Linked DNA regions of Arabidopsis thaliana. The protein of the gene in region 3 interacts with the protein of the main gene of each other region in a pairwise test. Each region holds a gene or a part of one and is shown on either strand. Other genes may lie near its edges.

Region 1 (4,511 bases), 8.1 Mb from region 3:
GACATTGGAGAGTTTGAGCTCGACTCTAAGTACAAAGTGATTTTCTTTGAACCTCTATATGGACAACAATAGTAGTATAATAACATTGTATTATAGTGTACATATGGATGAATATAGGTCGACCATTAAGCATTTTTCAACTATATTCTAGTTCCTTAAAAGTTTATAAATACTTTTGTTAGACTGGAAATTTCTTGATGGAAGTGTTTCCTAGCTAATAACCGTTAAGATTTCAAAAACATTAAACTAAAAAGCATTTGATTGTTTGTAGCTTAATATTTGATGTATTTGCTATGTATTGTATTATGGCTTTGATTGTGCAGTGAAATTATCTTGGTGGAAACTGATTGGGAAGAAAAACTAAGTTGAAAGACAGAATAAATCAGAAGAACAACTCACCCATAGACCATGTTTTTAAATGTGATGCTTGTGAGAAAATTGTTGAAATGGATTGTCTTACCTTTAAATTTTGAAAAATTCTTTAAACGTGGACTAAACGAAAGTTTTATGGGTCACTAAGCCATACCTAATTTTGAGAATAAGTGCATTTCTTAAACAACTATCTTCAAGTGAATTGTTAGTGTTTGCAATGATCTGCTTGCATTAGCCACTAGGATAACAAGAAGAATGGGAACTAAGAACTCTGAACATAGCACAGTATAGGGATGTTGCAAGAAGAACTTAAATTTCTACAAACAGTAACACAACTGGAGTTCAAGTTCCAGATAAAAGAAACAAAAATACAAATCTTTCGATTAGAATTGAGATGATAGTTCTAATCCAGTTTCCAGTTAAGCTTGAGTCAAACAAGAATCATGTCTCCTGGAGATTTTGTGGCTGATCAAGCAACGCTATAGCTTCTCCATTTACATCAGAATCATCAAATTGTTCTATCTCCTGAAGCTTTTGTGGCTGCTCAAGAAACACCGGAGCTTCTCCATTTACAACAGAATCAGCAAATGGTTCAGTAGGTGCAGGCCCATCACCAAGAGTCTGCTCATTCTCAGGATGAAAGTTGATAGGGAACTTAGTTACTCTAGGTTTGTCTGTGAGTATGTTCCTTTGGACCTTATCAATCAAAACCTTGGTAGGAGGCTCTTCCCTGAGCTGTTCATCATCATAGTCATTGTTCACATAATAGCCAACTCTTATAAACTCTTGATCCATGTATGAGCAAGTCAACAATAACACAGTAACACCAATAATATCTTCCTCACGAATCTTTAACGGATCTGGAGAGTCAGCCTATCATTTAATCAAACAAAAAGTTTAGACTAAGATTATGTACCTAAACCACCAGAAACAAAGAGAGAAGAATAAAACTAATCATACACTACCTGCAACACAAATCGATAGTTCCCAACGTTAACAGGACCAACAAGAACACTTTCCAAAACTTGATCATACGTTTCGTCTTCAGCTGACCCTACGTATATAAGCTTCCATTCCAAATCTGTAGCAAAACCAAAGAAACGTTATCTCACACATCAGGCTTACCAGAATGTGATCATGACTAGAAATCACGAAAATTTACAAAGCACAGAAACTTAACCAGTTGGTATAGGCAAAACGGTTTTACGCTTTTATTGCAGAAGGATAAGCAACACACACATAATGATATCTAGAACAATAATTCTCTGCCATGATCAAGAACCGATAACTTGCAACTAGTAATGTGTGAAATTACAGTACATAGCCACTGAGCCAGAGGTCAAATCTCATTTGAGAGCCAACACATCCGAAAGATAAGCCATACAAAATAACCATTCACAGTAAACAATCCTCATAGAGCAAAGACAAGGCTCCTAAATACCACAACTACAATGTTGAATACGAACAATTGCAGACATATAACCAACTTCTAAGCCAAAGAGAGTACACTAAGCTCGAGACAGATCGTGTGTGAGCTCATACAAATGCAAGAAAACCCTAACACAGTGAAGTCAATTAGCTACAAATCATACTTTAAAACCCCAAAAATTGAATCTTTTGTAGCATTATTCACATATCCAATCACAGGTTCTTCATTCTTCAATCGGTTCCGAAGAATATAATAACAAAATCGAAAATAAATCAACATAGTATCAATTTTCGAAAGATAGAGGATCAGGGAAAGTAAAAGGTACCGTCTTTGAGAGAGGTCAAGCATTCGTAAGAAATCTCGAACTGGAATGGATTCACAAACGGAGCAGGATTGTCCAAGACGGTGACGTTAGTGATATTGATAGAGCTCATAACGATTTAAATTGGGAAAACTCAAGGACTCGATTTTAGTTTGAAACCCTAGATTCTCGAAATTTCAAAGAAATCTAGAGAGACCCAGGTTAGGGTTCTCGAGATTTCTCTGTAAACAGTGAAATCGCCGGCGCGAGAAGAATGGTGGTCGGTCAGATTCAGAGACGGTTCGTGGTTAGAGCGATTTCAATTTGCCAGTTATTGGGTGGTTTTTTTTTAACCGGTTGGTATAAGGCTAATAACCGGTAGTTACCGGTCAACTATATTGGCGGGAGAGCTTTAAAACCTCAATTAGAAGAGGGAAATATAAAAGGAATTGAAATCGAGGCCATTTTAACTAATAATACTTAAGTTTTAAGGCCCATGGGCTAAATTTAGATTTAGTTAAAAGTTTTCACTTAACAATTAATTGACAATATTGTATGTGTAACTGTTGAATAGAGTAAAAATATAATTAGAATAATGTGTAATATTATACCAGTATAAAGATTTAGTGAAAACAAAAGTAGAATTTTAAAAAAGTAAAATTTTCAATTCATAGTAGTAACAATTTTTCATTAGAAGAGACCAAAGGAAAAGAAATTGAAATCAAAGAATACTTTGGTTCATTTCTACTAATGTTATTCACTCTTTTGTTTCAGCCAATCGGAATATGCCAGCTAATAAATGAATAAAAAAACATTTAACTATAAAATCTATAAAATGTAAAATCCAACCACTCTTCTATTAATCCAAACTGATATATATAATTTCGTTTAATTACAAAATCTAACTTTACTTCTCCTTTGTAAACTCCAAACCGATACTTAAACTTGTTAAAATGTAAAATCTAAACCCTAACAATTTTTTCTAAACCTAAACCAATATTTAACCTCGTTTAATTATAAAATCTAAATGTTTATAAACTCAAACAGAGATTTCACTTTGTTTAATCATAAAATCTAAACCCTAACTCTTTTTTGTCAACTCAAAACTGATATAAAAGTTCATTTTTGAGGTGGATTAAACTTTATAACTTAAATGAATTCAATTTTATTTTAGTAAGTAGCAGATTTTGATTAGGCAGATTTACAAAACTATCCTTTTTTTACTACCTTTTTGTAATAATACCCTTTTATATTATTCATTTTTAAAAATATCTCTTCCCTTGAACAGAATGACCAAATTACCCTCATCTAATAAGAACATGTAATTGGAAACTGATAGTTTCCCGCCAAATTTTTGGCGCCAAAAATTATTTTTCCCGCCAAAAAACATTTCTGCCAAACTTTTTTTCCCACCAAAAAAAAAAATCCCGCCAAAAAAAATTTTCCCGCCAAATTTTTTTCTCGTAAATTTTTTTTCCCAGCCAAAAAAATGCTTTTAAAAATCCTTGTAAATTTTTTAAAAACTCTTTTAAAAAACCTTGTAAAGTTTTTTAAAAACTCTTTTAAAAAACTTTACAAGGTTTTTTAAAAGCTTTGGTAGTTGCTAAAAACCCTTGTAAATCATTTTAAAACCTCTTAAAATATTTATAAAGTCTTTAAAAACATAGGTAAATACTTTAAAACCCCTTTTTAAACCTTTGTAAATCATTTTAAAACTTTTTACAATAGTTTTACAAGATTTACAATCGTTTTTTAAGCATAAGTAAGTGGCATTGAATGATTTACAAGGGATGTTAAAAGCTTATTAAAGGGTAAAACATGATTTACAATCGTTTTAAAGCATAAGTAAGTGACATAGAATGATTTATAAGGGATTTAAAAAGGGTTAGCATGGTTTACAATCGTTTTGTAGCATAAGTAAGTGGCATTGAATGATTTACAAGGGATTTGAAAAGCTTATAAAAGGGTAAAACATGATTTACAATCGTTTTTAAAGCATAAGTAAGTGGCATAGAATGATTTACAAAGATTTTTAAAAAGGGTTAGCATGGTTTACAATGTTTTTTTAAGTATAAGTAAGTGGTATTGGAATTATTTACAAGGGATTTTAAAAGCTTATAAAAGGGTAAAACATGATTTACAATCGTTTTTAAAGCATAAGTAAGTGGCATAGAATGATTTACAAGGGATTTTAAAAGTGTTTGTATGATTTACAATCGTTTTAAAGCATAAGTAAGTGACATTGAATGATTTACAAGGGATTTTAAAAGGGGTTAACATGATTTACAATCGTTTTTAAAGCATAAGTAAGTGTCAAAGAATGATTTACAAGAGATTTTAAAAAAGGTTTGCATGGTTTACAATCGTTTTTAAAAGATAAGTAAGTGGTATATAATGATTTACAAGGAT
Region 2 (7,145 bases), on a different chromosome or scaffold from region 3:
AAAGAAGATGATGCTGAATATTCAAGGGGAGGGCACGTAGAGATTGTCTCTTCGTTTACGAACTTGACGTGAAGTGAAAGAGTAGGCCAGTGTAAAGCGGTGTATCACACATTAAAGCACATTTGGCCTTTTATGACAACTTGGCTTATGTCATTGTTGTATCTTGTATGGTTCTCATTATTCAGAGCATATTCCTCATAACAAGAAAATGTTAAAATTACACAAATTCATTGTTTTCCTCTAACTAGGGGTAAAACTGCATCTCACGCACTTAGCAAAAGACAAAGAAAAAACCCTGCATCTCAGGGTGTAAACTTACTCGTACTACACACTAAAAAAAGTGGTTTTCCTCCTGAAAATCAATATGGTTTGGTTTAGTGAACCAGATTTAGTTTTGAATGAAATCTAGTGCACCTAGGGTGTGTATTACTGGTTCATTGAGAGTGAGAAAACTGAATGTTGGAGGATGTTTTAATGTAGAGAATAGAAGAGAAAACCAATTTGAACACATATGATCAAGACAACAAACAAACTTAGTTTTAAATGATTTATTTACTTTATTAAAGAGTCTATTGTTCATAAATCTTCGATTATAGTGGTGATCAAGTGTAGAAAAGTAGAAGTTTGGAATCTTTTTCGGGTAGAATATTGAAATGAAAAAAAAAAGGACTTATCAACACTACTCTTGAATGAGCGAGTTAAATTTTGCGTCCTACGATTGTTCTTTTACTCGCACTCTTAAAAGAACTTAAGAATATTAATTGAAATTCTTATTTGTCATGAAACTTCTATAAACAAAAGAACAAAAAAAAAGAAAAAAAAAAGAAAGAAGGCATGGTAGCCAAATAAACATGTAAATTAACAGTAAAAGTGTACACAGAGAAACATGTATCAACACAAAAGAATGTGTGAAAGGAAGAGTAAAAGGTTACATCAAATTTTTGTACAGTGAAGCTATCAGTTGGTGATAAAAGTTTCTTTTTTCAAAAGGCAAGAAGTCACTTTCTTTTTCAACTATCAACATTTGGACCCCATGCTTTAGCTTTGGTTCCATTTCATACCATGTTAGACTTGTCCTTCTTATTGTCGAACCCAAAGAGCGAGCAGTTCTGAAACGCATCAAGGCTGGTTGCTATCAGACGGCTCAATCCCCCGAGGCTCTCACTAAGGATCAAATCATCTGTATACTTTGACGATCTAATGTCTAAATCCAGTGGTCCTAACGAGTCGGGCTGCAAAGAGGAAACATGTGTTGTTGTTGAATATATATGACTTTTTTACATTGGGGAAATATATGAGATTTCTAAATTTACCCAGTATACATCCGCAAGTCCACAAGGGGTCTTCCCTGGAGAATCCATCGTATGAGGGTCTGCTGGACCCTCTTCCATTGGATCTCCATCGTCATGAGGGTTATAAGATCCCTCATCGCCGGATGAAGCCTAAGAGAAAGTATTGAATCAGATGGTTTAGTTTTGTAAACAATTGAGGGAAGTGGAATTTGAGGCTGATATAGTTACCTCCACCAACTGTGAAGGCTCTCCATTTACTCTGCCAACACCTTTAGGAGAAGCAACACTAGCCAGCTCGGTGGAATTTGCGAAACGATTTTTTTGGAAAGAGAAGGCATCACGTGTTTCTTCATCATCCCACAGAGAGGAAGAGCCAGAAGTCAGCGGTAGTTGAGCACTTGGCTTGTTCTGGTGTCTTAGTATATGAGCAGCAATTGCAGCATCAAAAGAGTCAGAGGTAAATGGGACATCTCGAAGGAGGTAATGTGAACCTTCGGTGGCAGGTGGATCAACACCATCACTATCTATGTCATCGGGCACTTCAGAAAGTAGATCACCTATACTTATGTTAGTAAGACTATCAGCCCATTCTCCTGGTGATTGTGCATTACCGCCGCTCAAATGCTCAAGTGGAGTAATACTCGTTGAAGCAGGTTCATAATCATCTCTAGATCTTGCGGGACGATCATGGACACCAGATGCACATACTAGACCCTGACTGGGCTCTACAGATGTCGTTTGTTCAGCAGTTGAATGCACAGACAAGGGTCCTGATTCAGTAAGGAGCATGTTGACCTCGTTCAACCTATCCACATTCATGTCATCCTCGAGTGAAGGGCAAGGATCTGAAGTTGGAACTTGAGAAATAATAGAACCTGACGCATCATGGACAAACCAACCATACCTGCAAATACATATAAGTAAATTAATTTTGGTTTATCTTGTATGACAATTTGACGAGAAGAAACCTGCAAGAGACTAGGAAAATATGAGAGCAAACCTTAAGCGGAAAACCGAAGGACTTCCGACCATTGAATGCACTTCTGCTGCGCTTAGAAAAGAGTCATGGGTCCACCTCTGATGGCACGTTACAGTTTCTTTTCGTGCGTTGTAAGGAAATAGCAATAGCTCTCCAGTCGCACAACTTGAGCTTCCCCATTTGCGATTGAGATGTTCAAGTACAGATGATATCTTCTTGCGATTACTAAGAGTAAGTTCAAGATGCGGATTGTGCTTATCCTGTTAAAGTGTTAAGTGTTAACAGATCAAGCTCCATTTCATGTCTCAGAAAATTATTGCTCCAATCAGTATAATTCCTATTTGAAGCTTACCATTTCCAAGGATCTTCGAGTACATTCATCAATCGGGAACAGCTGAAGTTTAAGCTTGGCAGAAAACTGCATATTGGCATCACTGAGAGGAACATCACCAGCTGAGCATAGAGAAAGTGGAGACTTTCCGGTTAAATATCTTGTGGGACCTAAATCTAAGATAAAAAGAGAATCTGATTTAGAATTTGCACATGTTAGTCCTCAAAAAACATATATCTAAGAAAAGGAACTATCATCCAATACTAGTAAGTAAACCTGTTTGATCATCCATATCTTTGTCAATTGATGTTCGTTCCAAATGCTCTGCAGCATCAGCAACCAGAGAGACCCCATCTATTGCAGCTTTTTCCCATTTTCTATAACCTGCTGAAAAAGGAAGAGATGCTTAGAGTCACGTAAGAACCTGGAACTACATCAAGCTTTTAAATAGCAACATAAAATCTAATATCAACATGGAAGATTAAAAGCAGATAATGTCCAAATTTGTGTGAACACTGAAAACACACACAATATGGGGCTGAAGAAAACTGCCTATCTAACAAACATGCATAAAAACTAGTAAAGAAAGAACCTTGTTTTCGCCGTTGCCTTCCACCTCTCCCAAAGGCTGTGTCTTCTTTTTCGTCACCAAGGTTGACACTTAAGCTTTCACCATGTTTGGTAGATGCTCTTCCAGGCCCTAGCTTTTTAACATTTTGGCCGTCGGAGAGAATAAGTTTAAATGGACGGTTATCCAATCCTCTTTCTCTACTATGACTTGAGATGTTTCCGAGGGAAGCAGAAGAGAGATTTTCTCCCTGGCAAGTCCGTTTTCTTATGCTCTTTCTGCGGTCTTTCAGCAATTGGTGTTCCTTCATGCAAAAGGTTTTGTTAGACAATAGTTTGTAAACGATTCCTTGTCAAATCCAAGGTGGTTTTGGGTTAAACGAAATTCGCATTTGCCAACTAACCAAGGCCTCTATAAATAGTTTGAATCTCCGGGGCTTGAGATGAAGTTTTGAAGCTTTGCAGCTATACTTTTCAAGCAAAGACCACCTGCAAGACACATGAAAAAGCATGTTTACTTTAGTCAGACGAGCTGAGTGATAATTAAGATCATGATATGTGAAATCATGTCATCTAGGAGAATGGAAGAAGCTATGATGTCTGAAATATAAGTCAGTTGCTACTATCTGATCATGTATGAGGTTCCTGGCAGATATTATCAAAGCACATGAAAAAAACAAAAAACCTTACCTTAACATTATATTGTCACTAGCAGGAAATGCATAGCTATACTACAGAAATTACTTTACGCAAATGGAACCCTTAAATGAATGTGACCATGCCTACTTAATAATACTCATAGTATCATAACATGCTATAACTTGTTATCTAGAAAAATACCCGGAGAGTGATATTCATCATTTGTTTACGATAACGTAACAATCTACCATACCAGCACAAAGCATAACAGAAAAGAAATGTATAAATCAAGTACCATCGTAGCATTGCAGCATTGGTGTCCTTTGGGTTCTTGGCATCAAGGCTCAGATCCGGGCCCAAAAGTTTGTTCATACGCCTCACTAAACGATAATAGTAATGCCTGACCTGCAAATCACAAGAAGTTTCCACAACCATCAGAAACTAAAAGCAAACACCAGCAAGTGCAAGCGAAAAGAAAACAAACACAAAACTAAAACAACCAACCTGGTCCTTGTTTTTGCTCTGAACACGAGAAGTTATCTTCTCAAAATTCTACAAAACAACACAAAGAGAAGGTTCACACACATAACAGGTTAACAACATAGAGAAGAAGAACGTCAAGGTGATACCTTTCCAACTTGACGAAGAGCAGTGAAGAAACTTTCCTCTTCTTGATGTGTCCAAGCAGCCCATTGCCTAGTCGGCTTCTTAGCTGCAACATCGCCATTTCCATTAAAAAAAATCAACTAAGCTAACAAAACAAGCATACAAGCACAACTTTTAAATCAATGCAACATACCAGGAAACTGAGTAATACTGATAGAAGCAGAAGAGAGTAAATTAGGGTTGCTGTTCTGGTTTGATAAACGGCCCTCACCGTTAGGACCTTCGGGTATCAGCTCGGCTTGCATTTCGCAATAATGCGTAAACTGTTTAAGCATTCATGCTTTTGATTTCAACTTCCTACAAATCAGAGCAATGAATCCTAAACCATGAACATTCAAAATCCCAAAAAAAAGGCGAAACTCTACATAGCGATCATCAACTAAAATCACAAGAAATTTAGCAACCGACAGAAAAATTTTACAGGCAATTCATAATTTTTACATCCACGACACAAATTTGAAAAACCCTAATTTCGAAGATATAACGAAGAACAAACAAATTTCACCTTCAATAAAACCCTAAAATTAATTTCACCAGATCACAACAAAAACAAAAACCCAATTCTACTTAATTCAATACCCTAATTAAGCTAAATCTCATAAGGGAAGACGAAAAATTGAAAAATTAAGAACTAGGGTTACTAAATACAAACTCGAAATTTGAATTGAAATTTTTAAAAAAATAAGTTTGACCCCGAAAAAAAACACGAAAAATATGAGAAATATTACCTGAAAAGGTTTGAAATGTGGAATTGGAAGTGGGATTGACGAACACTAGTCGAGAATTTAGGGTAAATCGAACGAAATTGAAGCCGAAGATATTTTTCCGATGAACAACCACGGTTGAACCAAGCGAGAGAGAAAAATAAATTTTATTTTTTTTCTTGTTTTTTACATTCACATAAAATTAAAAAGAAAATAAAATAAAAAGGAATGTAATTAATTTAGTTACTTGTTATCTAAGATGTCAAAATATATGTTTGTCATGGTGGGTTAACATATATTATATTCTTGTAATTAAATGAGTTTTTTTACTTTTCGAAAGAATCAATCAAAAATATTTTAATTATTTTATGAACAAAGGAGAGAAATATATACGAAATTATTATTTATTTTATCTTTTATTAAACACATAAAGTTGAATAAGCCAGTTGCCTTCGTCACGCTAAGTATTATTTTATCTAAAGTGAAACTATAGATTAGGAAAATTCGGAAATTTTACTATTTTCTTCTACAATTTCATGAAAATAGAAAAATATTTCTACTATTTTGCCTCGTTAAAAAGGGGAAAAAAAGACAACAAAAAATTAGTTGAATCGTAATGCACGTGGCTTGGGTTGGCATCTGGCAAGTCGCATGATAAAGATAAAGCGTTTAGAAGTTAAAACGCCAAAATAATATTTGAAATTGTGGTTTGTGTTGGATATAGTCCTCAGGCCCTGGTACAAAAATTAGGTCTGGTCCAATAAATACATACATGGGCTTTTATTTAGCCCAATAGTAACTAATTCACAAGATCCAAATTTTTGTAAATCTTTTCTTCTGTCAACGATCCAATCTTTAATCTTTGTATATGTTAGATGAGCTAACACTTTTTTTCAGAAAATAAGCCTTATACACGCTTTCAAGGTAGAGGGGTTCAAATTTACATCTTTGAAACACGTATGGTATCGATAGCTCTAATAGTCGATATTTTTTGGGATCTTATTTTTGAGATAAAATATGACCAAGTTTTGGGTTCGTATCCTACGAGCAGCCAAGAATGGAGTTATTTATCTAGCTATAGTCTCTGGCCTAAGAAAAATATATGTCAACGTCACAAAGAACGGAGCCGGTTTATCTAACATGATTTTTGATCTCACGGTTCAACTTCTATAGGGTAACCAATAAGTATAACCTATGCACGTAGAGCATTAATGAATAAATTGACTTGTAGTCCTTTTCGGTTAAAAGTTGACTTATCGTTTCGTTAAAAAGAATGGAGAAAGTCAGAAGTCGGAGTTACGATACGACGAATTAACATGACTCTGGCCTTTTTTCATCATGTCATGCTCAAATTGTTTGACAAATTCAATTTGTTACGCGAAGCGTAGAGATTTGACCCAAAACTATTCGCATGTGGATTGGAGATATGTATATCCTTTTCTTATTAAGTTTGTAGAAGATGTTTTCCCACTTACGGGTGTTTTTTCTATTATATTAGAAAACTTTTCTATTTTGATAAGGATTAGAAAACTTTTCTTGACCCAATTGTTATTTCTACGGCGACAGTTTAAGATTTCAAGTTTAACTACTCTTTTAGTCTTGTAAATAAAGCATAATTTAAGTTCTACTAAACATGTAAGTTGTATTAGTTAGACCATTTTAGTATTTTACCTCTCAATATATCACTAAACTCAATTTGTTTGAGTTTTCCTAGTAGGTCTAGATCAAAATAGAGTCTGAATTCAAATATTAGTATGCTGCATTTTAAAAAAACTTATATGGACTAAAAAGGCCATCAAAAACTTAGATATGAAAACATGCGTCTATAAGTCGATTAGTCCAATCAGAACATAATTTCGGTATAGCTCCGAGTTTGATTTCTCTGGTTGAACAATCGAGCTACATGCATGCTCGTGTTTTAGGTTTTCGCATAAAATCTTTGACATGGTGGTTTTGTGTAACCAAGC
Region 3 (7,794 bases):
GAAGAAGAAGAAGACCTTCCAACATCGCCAGGCTTGACCAAGCCAGAGTTGGCCCTAAGGCAAGGCATTGAAGCGGCCGTTTTTATAACTTTGGGAGCTTCGACGATGATGATCGGTGATCCTACTTGGAGCTTCGATTTTGGTCGTGGAGCCTCGTTTGCGATTTCACAGCATCTCACACTGACTCGTTGCGTGAAGGATCCACTGTGCCATATGCCATATTGCATCTTGGAGAATCTAGTTGAAGAAACAAAAGATAAAGCCATGGAAGAAGAAGCCAGCAAGTGTGAGTTTTTTAGTGGTATGAGTGGGGGGATAAGTAGACTTTTGTCTCGTAGTAGTTTACTAGCAAGCCAATGATTTTCAATCTTCGGTTTTGTCTTGGTTTACTCTTCGGTTTAGTTCAGTTCCAGTCCAGTATTCTCCAGCCGGATTTGTTATATTTCTTATTTCTTCAATTGATCACATTTCATATTGTCTTAAACCTGAGAAGCAAGAACGATTTGGGGCCTGTTTCCAACTTTCAGCTTTCTTCTATTATAAAACATGAAGAATATACATAACATGTTACATAATAAAAGGAAGACAAGACACATTAACTTCACCCGAAATTAATATGGTTCAAGGGGCCGGGAGATAAAATATTTAGACAAACAAAACAGAAACTTTATAAGCTATACCAAAAAATATTCTAGGATCTGGTCTTTTAGCATCTCTGGTTTGTTTTTGAAGACTACACAATCTCACTTCTTAGAGTAGGCAAGATATGGATCCTGTGCCATTGTTAGAACATCCGGCCTATCTTCTTGGTTATATGTTAGACACCGTCGAATCAAATCCTGCAGAAAATGCAAAAGTGAGAACATGGAGAGACAGTTTCATGACTATTTGGTACTACTTTACTTAAACCATGTTTAAGACCGGTACAGTTAATTTACCTTCGCTTCATTTGAGATGGCAGGTCTTGTTACTGGGAACTCAACCTTTTTGGCTTTAATGATTGTGTCTTCTCTTAGTATCCGTTCTTGGCTTTGGTCATGTCCAAAAGGTCGCTTTCCAAACAGCATTTGGTAAAACAGAACACCAACTGACCATACATCAACCTGAGTTTCAACACAATTTAGTACCACAAAACTTCTATAAGATAATCAGATTATGACATCATTGACCAATCACTGACCTTTGATGAGATCATAGGAGTTTTGTTAAGCTCAAAGCATTCTGGGGGCAAGTACCTATATTATAGAACCTTGTTAGCTATAAGATGTCCGGAAGTAGAAGAGACAAAAATAATATAGACCATATCAAGGAGACAAAAACTAGATTGCTCACCAGTATGTTCCAGCTCCCTGTGATGTAAGCTCCATTCCTTGAGAACCAACATTGTCCTCCACTATCTTGCTTAGACCAAAATCAGTTACTTTTGCTACTCCAAACTCATCAAAGAGAACATTACCAGGCTTCAGATCATAGTGGATTATCTTCTGTGACTTTTTGTTCAGATATACAAGGCCTTGAACTATTTGCACAATGATAATCCTTGCTTCTTTCTCAGGAAGATTAGATGTTGCCTTTAATACAGCATCAAGGTCTTTCCCTGCATTAGAAATTCAAAACATAAGAGTGAGAACTCAGAACTGTACTCCAGGATCTACAAAGGAATAGGAGAATTCTGATTTACCACTACAATATTCCAGAACGGTGCAGAATGTATGCATGTCGATATGAAATTTATCCCAAAGCCGAACAATGTGGTGATGCACAAGACTTTTATGGATCTCACATTCCCTGTTGGCATGGCGGATGTAACTTTGCTTCTTTTCTTCACTCCACTGAGCATTTAAACCATGAAGCTTGCACGCAACATATCTATGGTCCACCAAATCATATGCCTGCTTAAAATCCATAACATCATATTACTGCAAAATAATTCTCACATGTAAAAGAATGTAGTATCTATCAATGTTCTGACCTTATAGACTTCACTAAATCCGCCTTTACCAAGAAGATTTAGAAGAGCATAGCGGCTATTCAAAACTGGGAAATGGTTGAAACGAGAACCATCTTCATCTCGTATGCGTTTCATCTCCCTCATAAGTAGCCCCTTCTCTAATGTGTACCTTTCTCTCTCACGCAAAACAGCTTCCTCTTCCTGAAAGGTAAAACCAATAAATGTATGATACGTAACCAGAACCGAATCAACTTATAGGAAACAAGAAGCTGAGATGATGCATAAAGAACATACCCGCTTAATACTAGTAAGACGAGACTTGTAAACCTCGTCAGGGATGATATCTTCCTCCTGTGCTCCTGATTCTGTGTCGGTTCCGTCATTCTTATCTACACCCAAATGGAAAAACCAAGGGTGCCAAACATCATAACAATTTGCCCAAGGAAAAAATCACAAGATATATTACAGGAGATTGCGGATTCACTGACAAACAAAAAAATACTGGGATAACATACCACCATTTTGTCGTTTCTTAAGTAACTTTCTTTGTCTCTCAATAGCCTCCTTGGTTTCCAGCAATTGTCTCTTTTCGTTGCAAATTTATAGAAAAATCAGTACAGTTACTTCAAAGCTTATTGGTATTAGTTTGATAAAAATCCCTCGCTACACAGCTTAACTTACAAGTTGAGCATTCAGATCTTTCAACATTTGTCCGTCCTCCCATGTCTCAGCTATGATCGTTCCTGTCCTGAAATCACCAAAAAACACACACAAGCATATGTATTAAATTTTGATCACAAAATCAAGAACTAACCTTGTAACTTAGCAAAGAAGAGAGCTGCAATTATTGAGAAATGTGAAAGCAACTTCTATCTAAAACTCTATTCGAGTTTGTTTAAAGATTTTACTATAAAGCAAATTTGTATTTGCTATACATGTTTTATTATACCTCTCTGTGAAATATAATTTCAAACCTTGTGTAAATGATCACAGAAATGAATGATATATTGGATAAATACTAAGAACTCATATAAAATTATAAATATATTATGGCAGACCTGAGAACACCAACACTGCCTAATCGCAAAGATTCATTTCTGACTTTCGTTCTTGCTTCTTGTCTCTCAGTTTTGGAAACAGATATGAGAAGGTCCGAGATTACTTTAGTTGTCTGCGTGAAGAAAAAGAAAGGTTCAAAGCTTGCTGTTAGCAAGTGCACTGTTAGCTTAGACCAAATAATTCCGCATGATTTCCATAAGTATGTAAGAGTTATTAAGAATATCAGAGAGAAGCAGCCACAAAACATTTGATAAATTTCTTCATTACACTAACAGTAATAGTGCTACAGGGTTTGCAAAAGTTTCTGCCAATTTAAGTACCAAGTTGATATGAAGATACCCAGTTCGTTACAATTTGGTTCCACATTCAATGCACCTAAATCGCCTTCTCCGCAATAGATTGCCTATTAATTATTACCTAAAGAAATACTACTAAATGCTTTACGAAAAGAGCTCACTGGAAATGGAGTACTATAGGTAACGTAGACAATTGCAAGATCCAAGCTTTCACAGATATTTCAGTTATTTAGCAGCAGCACCATCAATAAATTTACTGAGCATTCTAAGCAAATCAGGAGACTGTCTATTGATTTAACTTTCTCGGGATAGAACTACCATGCTTCTTATGGAGAAAAATGTTTAACTCTAAGATTCTCCCAAAATCATTGAGAATATTAAAAGTAACCATGCCATAGTAGGTGCAAAATTTTATAAAAGAACATAAAAATTCTCAATAATCTATTAAGACACGGAAACAAAAGTTTGCGTACCTTTTGCTTCCCTTGTTGTTCCTGATCTTTCAGATCTTTTACCTCCTGCATATATCATTACTAGGATTATAAGCAGAGCAGGGGAATGGGAATAGATAAAAATGGTAATAGCATAGGCACAAATAGCTAAATCTGAAAGGCATTCACACAATACATTCTCAAGATTCCTGACAAGGTGGTGATACTCAGAAGAATCTTGTCGAGATTTACGCAATTCCTCCTCCAGCATAGCGATTTTTGCACGCAAAGATTTTAAGTCTTCCTGATTTATAAACAAGGAACAAAATAGTGAATAAAGAAAGATATAATTGTACAGTTTCATTGTTGTAGGATAATCATATATAATAATCCCGTTCACTTATTCTAACCAACTTAGAACATGCAGCTTAGTCCTAGACGATGAGACACAAACATATTCTCCAATATTACAGAGTAAAAGACATTATAGGAGAAACTTACATCCTGGAGAGAGCATTCACCATTCCTGAGCTGTCCATCAGGCCTAAAATCCTGGAGAATAAAATGCAGAAAATATTCATTGATAAACTGCGTCTGGTCATCAACATCAATGCAAACAGCAAAAAAAAAGGTAGGAAAAGGCATAGTAATTCTTTCTTGTCCTGCTTAATTTTTTCATACAGGCCAATTAAAAGGTTTTACTTCAGGAAAACATATAATTTGTGTCCACGTTTGTCAACGAAATTAAGTCTCATATATGTAAATCCTCGATGATGAGAAGAGTGGTTCCATGTAAGGTCCGATGAGGTAAACAATACTAACCTTTTGATCAGAGGCATCCAGTTGACTGGCAGCTGATACTGGTGCAACCACAAACTGAGATTTTGTCACATCGTTATTAGTTTTAGAACCACGCCCTCTACCTGTTGACGAAGCCCGACCTCGACCTTGTTTCTTCTTACTTACATCAAGGCCTGTCTTGGACTCAGCATCATTTTTCCTTCCATCATATGCTGCCTCTTGTGGCTTCAATTCAACAATATTCTTCATTATAAGTTGATGAGAAATACTAGGAGACAAAACTTACATCATACACCAATATTTGATATAAAAAACATCAACCCGATAAGAGACTAAAAGAAAACTCTTTATGAAAAATCAATACCTCAACATGATCAACAACACTGAAGTTGTTAGATTCTTGAACTTTCTGGCGCTTTTTTGTATTTGCTCGGATTAGGAAATCTCCAGTATTCTGAGACAGTAACAAGGAGAATGAGATCTAGCTAAAAAAGAGACTGTATTTCTTGTTCAAGAAAGAAATATAGATGCATCTGCAATGCCAGGATATGTAGCCAGCATTGCATACAACTTTGATCAATCTTTAGGCACAAACTGATCAATACAAGGAGGATAGGGACATCAACAATTCAATTAGCAACGACCCTTAGACTCACAAGAATCATAGCATAGACATAAACAAAAGAATTTGAAACAAACATCGGAAGCTACCTCGTCGTCTGAATCACTGATAGAGGTTTCGGACAATCCCGGCGGTGTGGAAGTGACGACTTTGACAGCGGCAGAAGCAGATGACCAGAGAGAGACCTGCTGCTGCTGCTGTTGTTGTTGTTGTGGTGGCTTGGCCGAGGAAGGGGTCTTACCAGTCAAGCGGGCCTCAAGCTTGGCGATTTTGTCGGGTAAAGAGTGATCCGACTGATTAGAAGAATTCGAGGAGAAATGCAAAACCATGTCATCCGACATTGCCAAACACTTGCGGACACTTCACTCCCTAATTTCTACACAGATCAGAGTAAATTCGAGAAATTAGGGTTTTTTAACGGAGAATTACGGAATTGGAAGCTAGAATCTGGATGTCGAAGAGAAACCCATCAACAAATTTTCATGCTTTTATGCAAATCCACGTGGAGGAAAGTGAATAAAACGTACAGAGAAAGATAGACAGAGAAAGAGAAGGAGGAATAAGGTTTTTGTTTCGGTGAAAAAGAAAAATCGAGGAACCCTAAGGAATTAGGAGGGAAAGAGAGGTCAACACAAAGTTCTCTTTAGCACTCACTCTGATACATTTTTTGGTTTATCAGATTTTAGCCTAATTATATAATCTGAGGTTTGAGACAAGTTTGAGTTATGGGTGTGTTAATTTGGGAAATTTCCATTTTTTCTTTCTTTTTTTTTCTCCATTTGGTATCATGGATTAGGGTTGACTATAAGTAGGGTTTTCTTTGATCTAAGGCCAGACTCGTGGTTTAAACGCTAAAATCCGATTATGACTATATGAATTTGCGGAAGTAGGCGGTTGCCGTCTCAAGCGTTATTAAACAATTTGAACGATTAATTTAGCGGTTGAAAATTAATGCATTTGCGGAAATTTTGTTACTGAATATCTAACAAACTAAAATACTTAATATATTAAATAATAAAATAATATAATTTAGTAATTTATAGTAAAATAAGATATGCTAGACTATTAATTTTGACACTAAATATATTCTGATTTCTTTCTTTACTAGTTTCATTTATATTTAATAACATTTTTATATAATTTACTATTCACAGAATTTAATAAGAAATAAATCTTAATTTGAAAAAAAAAAAATTGATTTGATAAAATTTCAATTGATTAATTAATTAAGACAAATAAAATAATAAATGAGAATCTCAGTGTCAATTAATAGATAAAATTAAAATGTAACATGCGTTAAGAAAAAGAAAAAAGTAAAAATGTAATATTAAGGTTTAGGCAAAATGAAATATTTACAGAGACCTTTTACTATTGAATTAAAAAAAAAAGTTACAATTCGAGATGGACTATTTTTTTGGAGGAGCAAGGGTTAACTCTTATCTCAGATTAAAACAACCCCTGCGCCGCTTACTCTCTCTCAGATTCCTCCCGAAGCAACCTCGTTTACTCTCTACGCCAATTTCAGCGCTTAGACATCCCTTTGTGAGTTTTCTTCGATTCCTTTTCGAATTCTTCTGGTCGATCTCAGAGTAAATCGTGTTTTTGGAAGAATTGAGTATAAACAGATTGGTAAACCTAGCTGTTCCGTTTCTGATTTGAAGCCTTGTCGTACATTTTATTTGGGTATTTTTTTTATTGGGAATCGAAAAGTTGTTCTGAATCTCGTTATGGTTTTGTTGCGTTCCGAATTACCTCTCTGATTTAGAAACCCTAATTTCGGACTTGCCTATGCTCATCGTTGTTACAGATTATGTTGATTCTAATATGTATATGTTTGGTTTCTGAGGTCTTATTATCATTGTGTGTTTTCGTTTTGTATCTCAGTTGCAATCATGGCTGATGAAATCAATGAGATAAGGGAAGAGCAAGAAGTAAGTTTGTTTTTTTTCTCTGTTTCTTAATGATAGGGCTCAAGTTAGCCATATAGATTTTTTTTTTTGTTTTGTTTGATGAACTCATGATTGAATGGTTTTTATGTTTTGGTTCATCCTTTTACAGCAGCTCGCACCCTTTGATCCTTCCAAGAAGAAAAAGAAGAAGAAGGTTGTGATTCAGGAACCTGTCGAGGACTTAGCAGAGTCTTCACAGACTGAGAAATCTGATTCATTGCCTGGTATGTATGATGAAGAGTCAATGTGATGTGAAACATTTTTTTTGTTTCAATGGTCTTTTGTGTTACTTTGTCTAATTCCTTGTTTTTGCAGTTAATGATGGTCTTGAGAGTTCATTTACTGGAATGAAGAAAAAGAAGAAGAAGCCAGTGAGTATTGTTTTACGTTTTGTGCCTAGTATTTTTTTTATGTCATTAAACTTGTGTGTTTGATGATTCTGTGACTCACATTTGTTCTTGTTTGATATTTAGACTGAATCAAGCTTATTGAACAACGAAAGTGTTGATGCTGGGGAAGATTTGGATGGTACTTTTAATATCCTTTTTTTTTGTTTGCTAATATACCTTTTCTCTTGGCGGGGTTTTTATCCTGTTTGAATCTTACTGAGAATATATTGCAGAGATTGCTAATGACGAGCAAGAGGGGGAAGAAGGAATAGTTCTACAGCAACGTTACCCCTGGG

Evidence for each region. Proteins that work in one complex are often made in the same cells at the same time.
Region 1: the proteins of TSL (region 3) and ASF1B interact in a two-hybrid assay, tested with the Arabidopsis thaliana proteins (one study listed by BioGRID).
Region 2: the proteins of TSL (region 3) and TKI1 interact in binary tests that used the Arabidopsis thaliana proteins (3 or more experiments, as listed by UniProt).

The regions. Positions count from the first base shown.
Region 1 is NC_003076.8:15,206,367-15,210,877, reverse strand, and holds ASF1B (anti- silencing function 1b), read right to left. Parts: upstream 2,521-4,511; 5' UTR 2,236-2,520; coding exon 2,127-2,235; intron 1,454-2,126; coding exon 1,338-1,453; intron 1,246-1,337; coding exon 814-1,245; 3' UTR 543-813; downstream 1-542. UniProt on the Arabidopsis thaliana protein: Histone chaperone that facilitates histone deposition and histone exchange and removal during nucleosome assembly and disassembly.
Region 2 is NC_003071.7:15,521,156-15,528,300, reverse strand, and holds TKI1 (TSL-kinase interacting protein 1), read right to left. Parts: upstream 5,382-7,145; 5' UTR 5,203-5,381; intron 4,833-5,202; exon of another isoform or gene 4,772-4,832; 5' UTR 4,750-4,771; coding exon 4,608-4,749; intron 4,521-4,607; coding exon 4,438-4,520; intron 4,361-4,437; coding exon 4,313-4,360; intron 4,214-4,312; coding exon 4,104-4,213; intron 3,659-4,103; coding exon 3,574-3,658; intron 3,475-3,573; coding exon 3,195-3,474; intron 2,990-3,194; coding exon 2,879-2,989; intron 2,779-2,878; coding exon 2,624-2,778; intron 2,532-2,623; coding exon 2,293-2,531; intron 2,197-2,292; coding exon 1,521-2,196; intron 1,443-1,520; coding exon 1,314-1,442; intron 1,233-1,313; coding exon 1,056-1,232; 3' UTR 805-1,055; intron 670-804; 3' UTR 543-669; downstream 1-542.
Region 3 is NC_003076.8:7,095,920-7,103,713, reverse strand, and holds TSL (Protein kinase superfamily protein), read right to left. Parts: upstream 5,847-7,794; 5' UTR 5,502-5,846; coding exon 5,250-5,501; intron 4,993-5,249; coding exon 4,903-4,992; intron 4,764-4,902; coding exon 4,560-4,763; intron 4,290-4,559; coding exon 4,239-4,289; intron 4,042-4,238; coding exon 3,934-4,041; intron 3,825-3,933; coding exon 3,780-3,824; intron 3,123-3,779; coding exon 3,010-3,122; intron 2,700-3,009; coding exon 2,633-2,699; intron 2,537-2,632; coding exon 2,467-2,536; intron 2,341-2,466; coding exon 2,246-2,340; intron 2,153-2,245; coding exon 1,973-2,152; intron 1,893-1,972; coding exon 1,682-1,892; intron 1,598-1,681; coding exon 1,333-1,597; intron 1,236-1,332; coding exon 1,181-1,235; intron 1,104-1,180; coding exon 939-1,103; intron 840-938; coding exon 744-839; 3' UTR 508-743; downstream 1-507. Other genes in the region: CRR42 (DUF3148 family protein), read right to left, coding at 16-266; EIF2 BETA (eukaryotic translation initiation factor 2 beta subunit), read left to right, coding at 7,053-7,091, 7,219-7,333, 7,425-7,480, 7,583-7,637, 7,732-7,794. UniProt on the Arabidopsis thaliana protein: Required for correct initiation of floral organ primordia and for proper development of organ primordia. Phosphorylates in vitro ASF1B/SGA1, the C-terminal part of TKI1 and histone H3.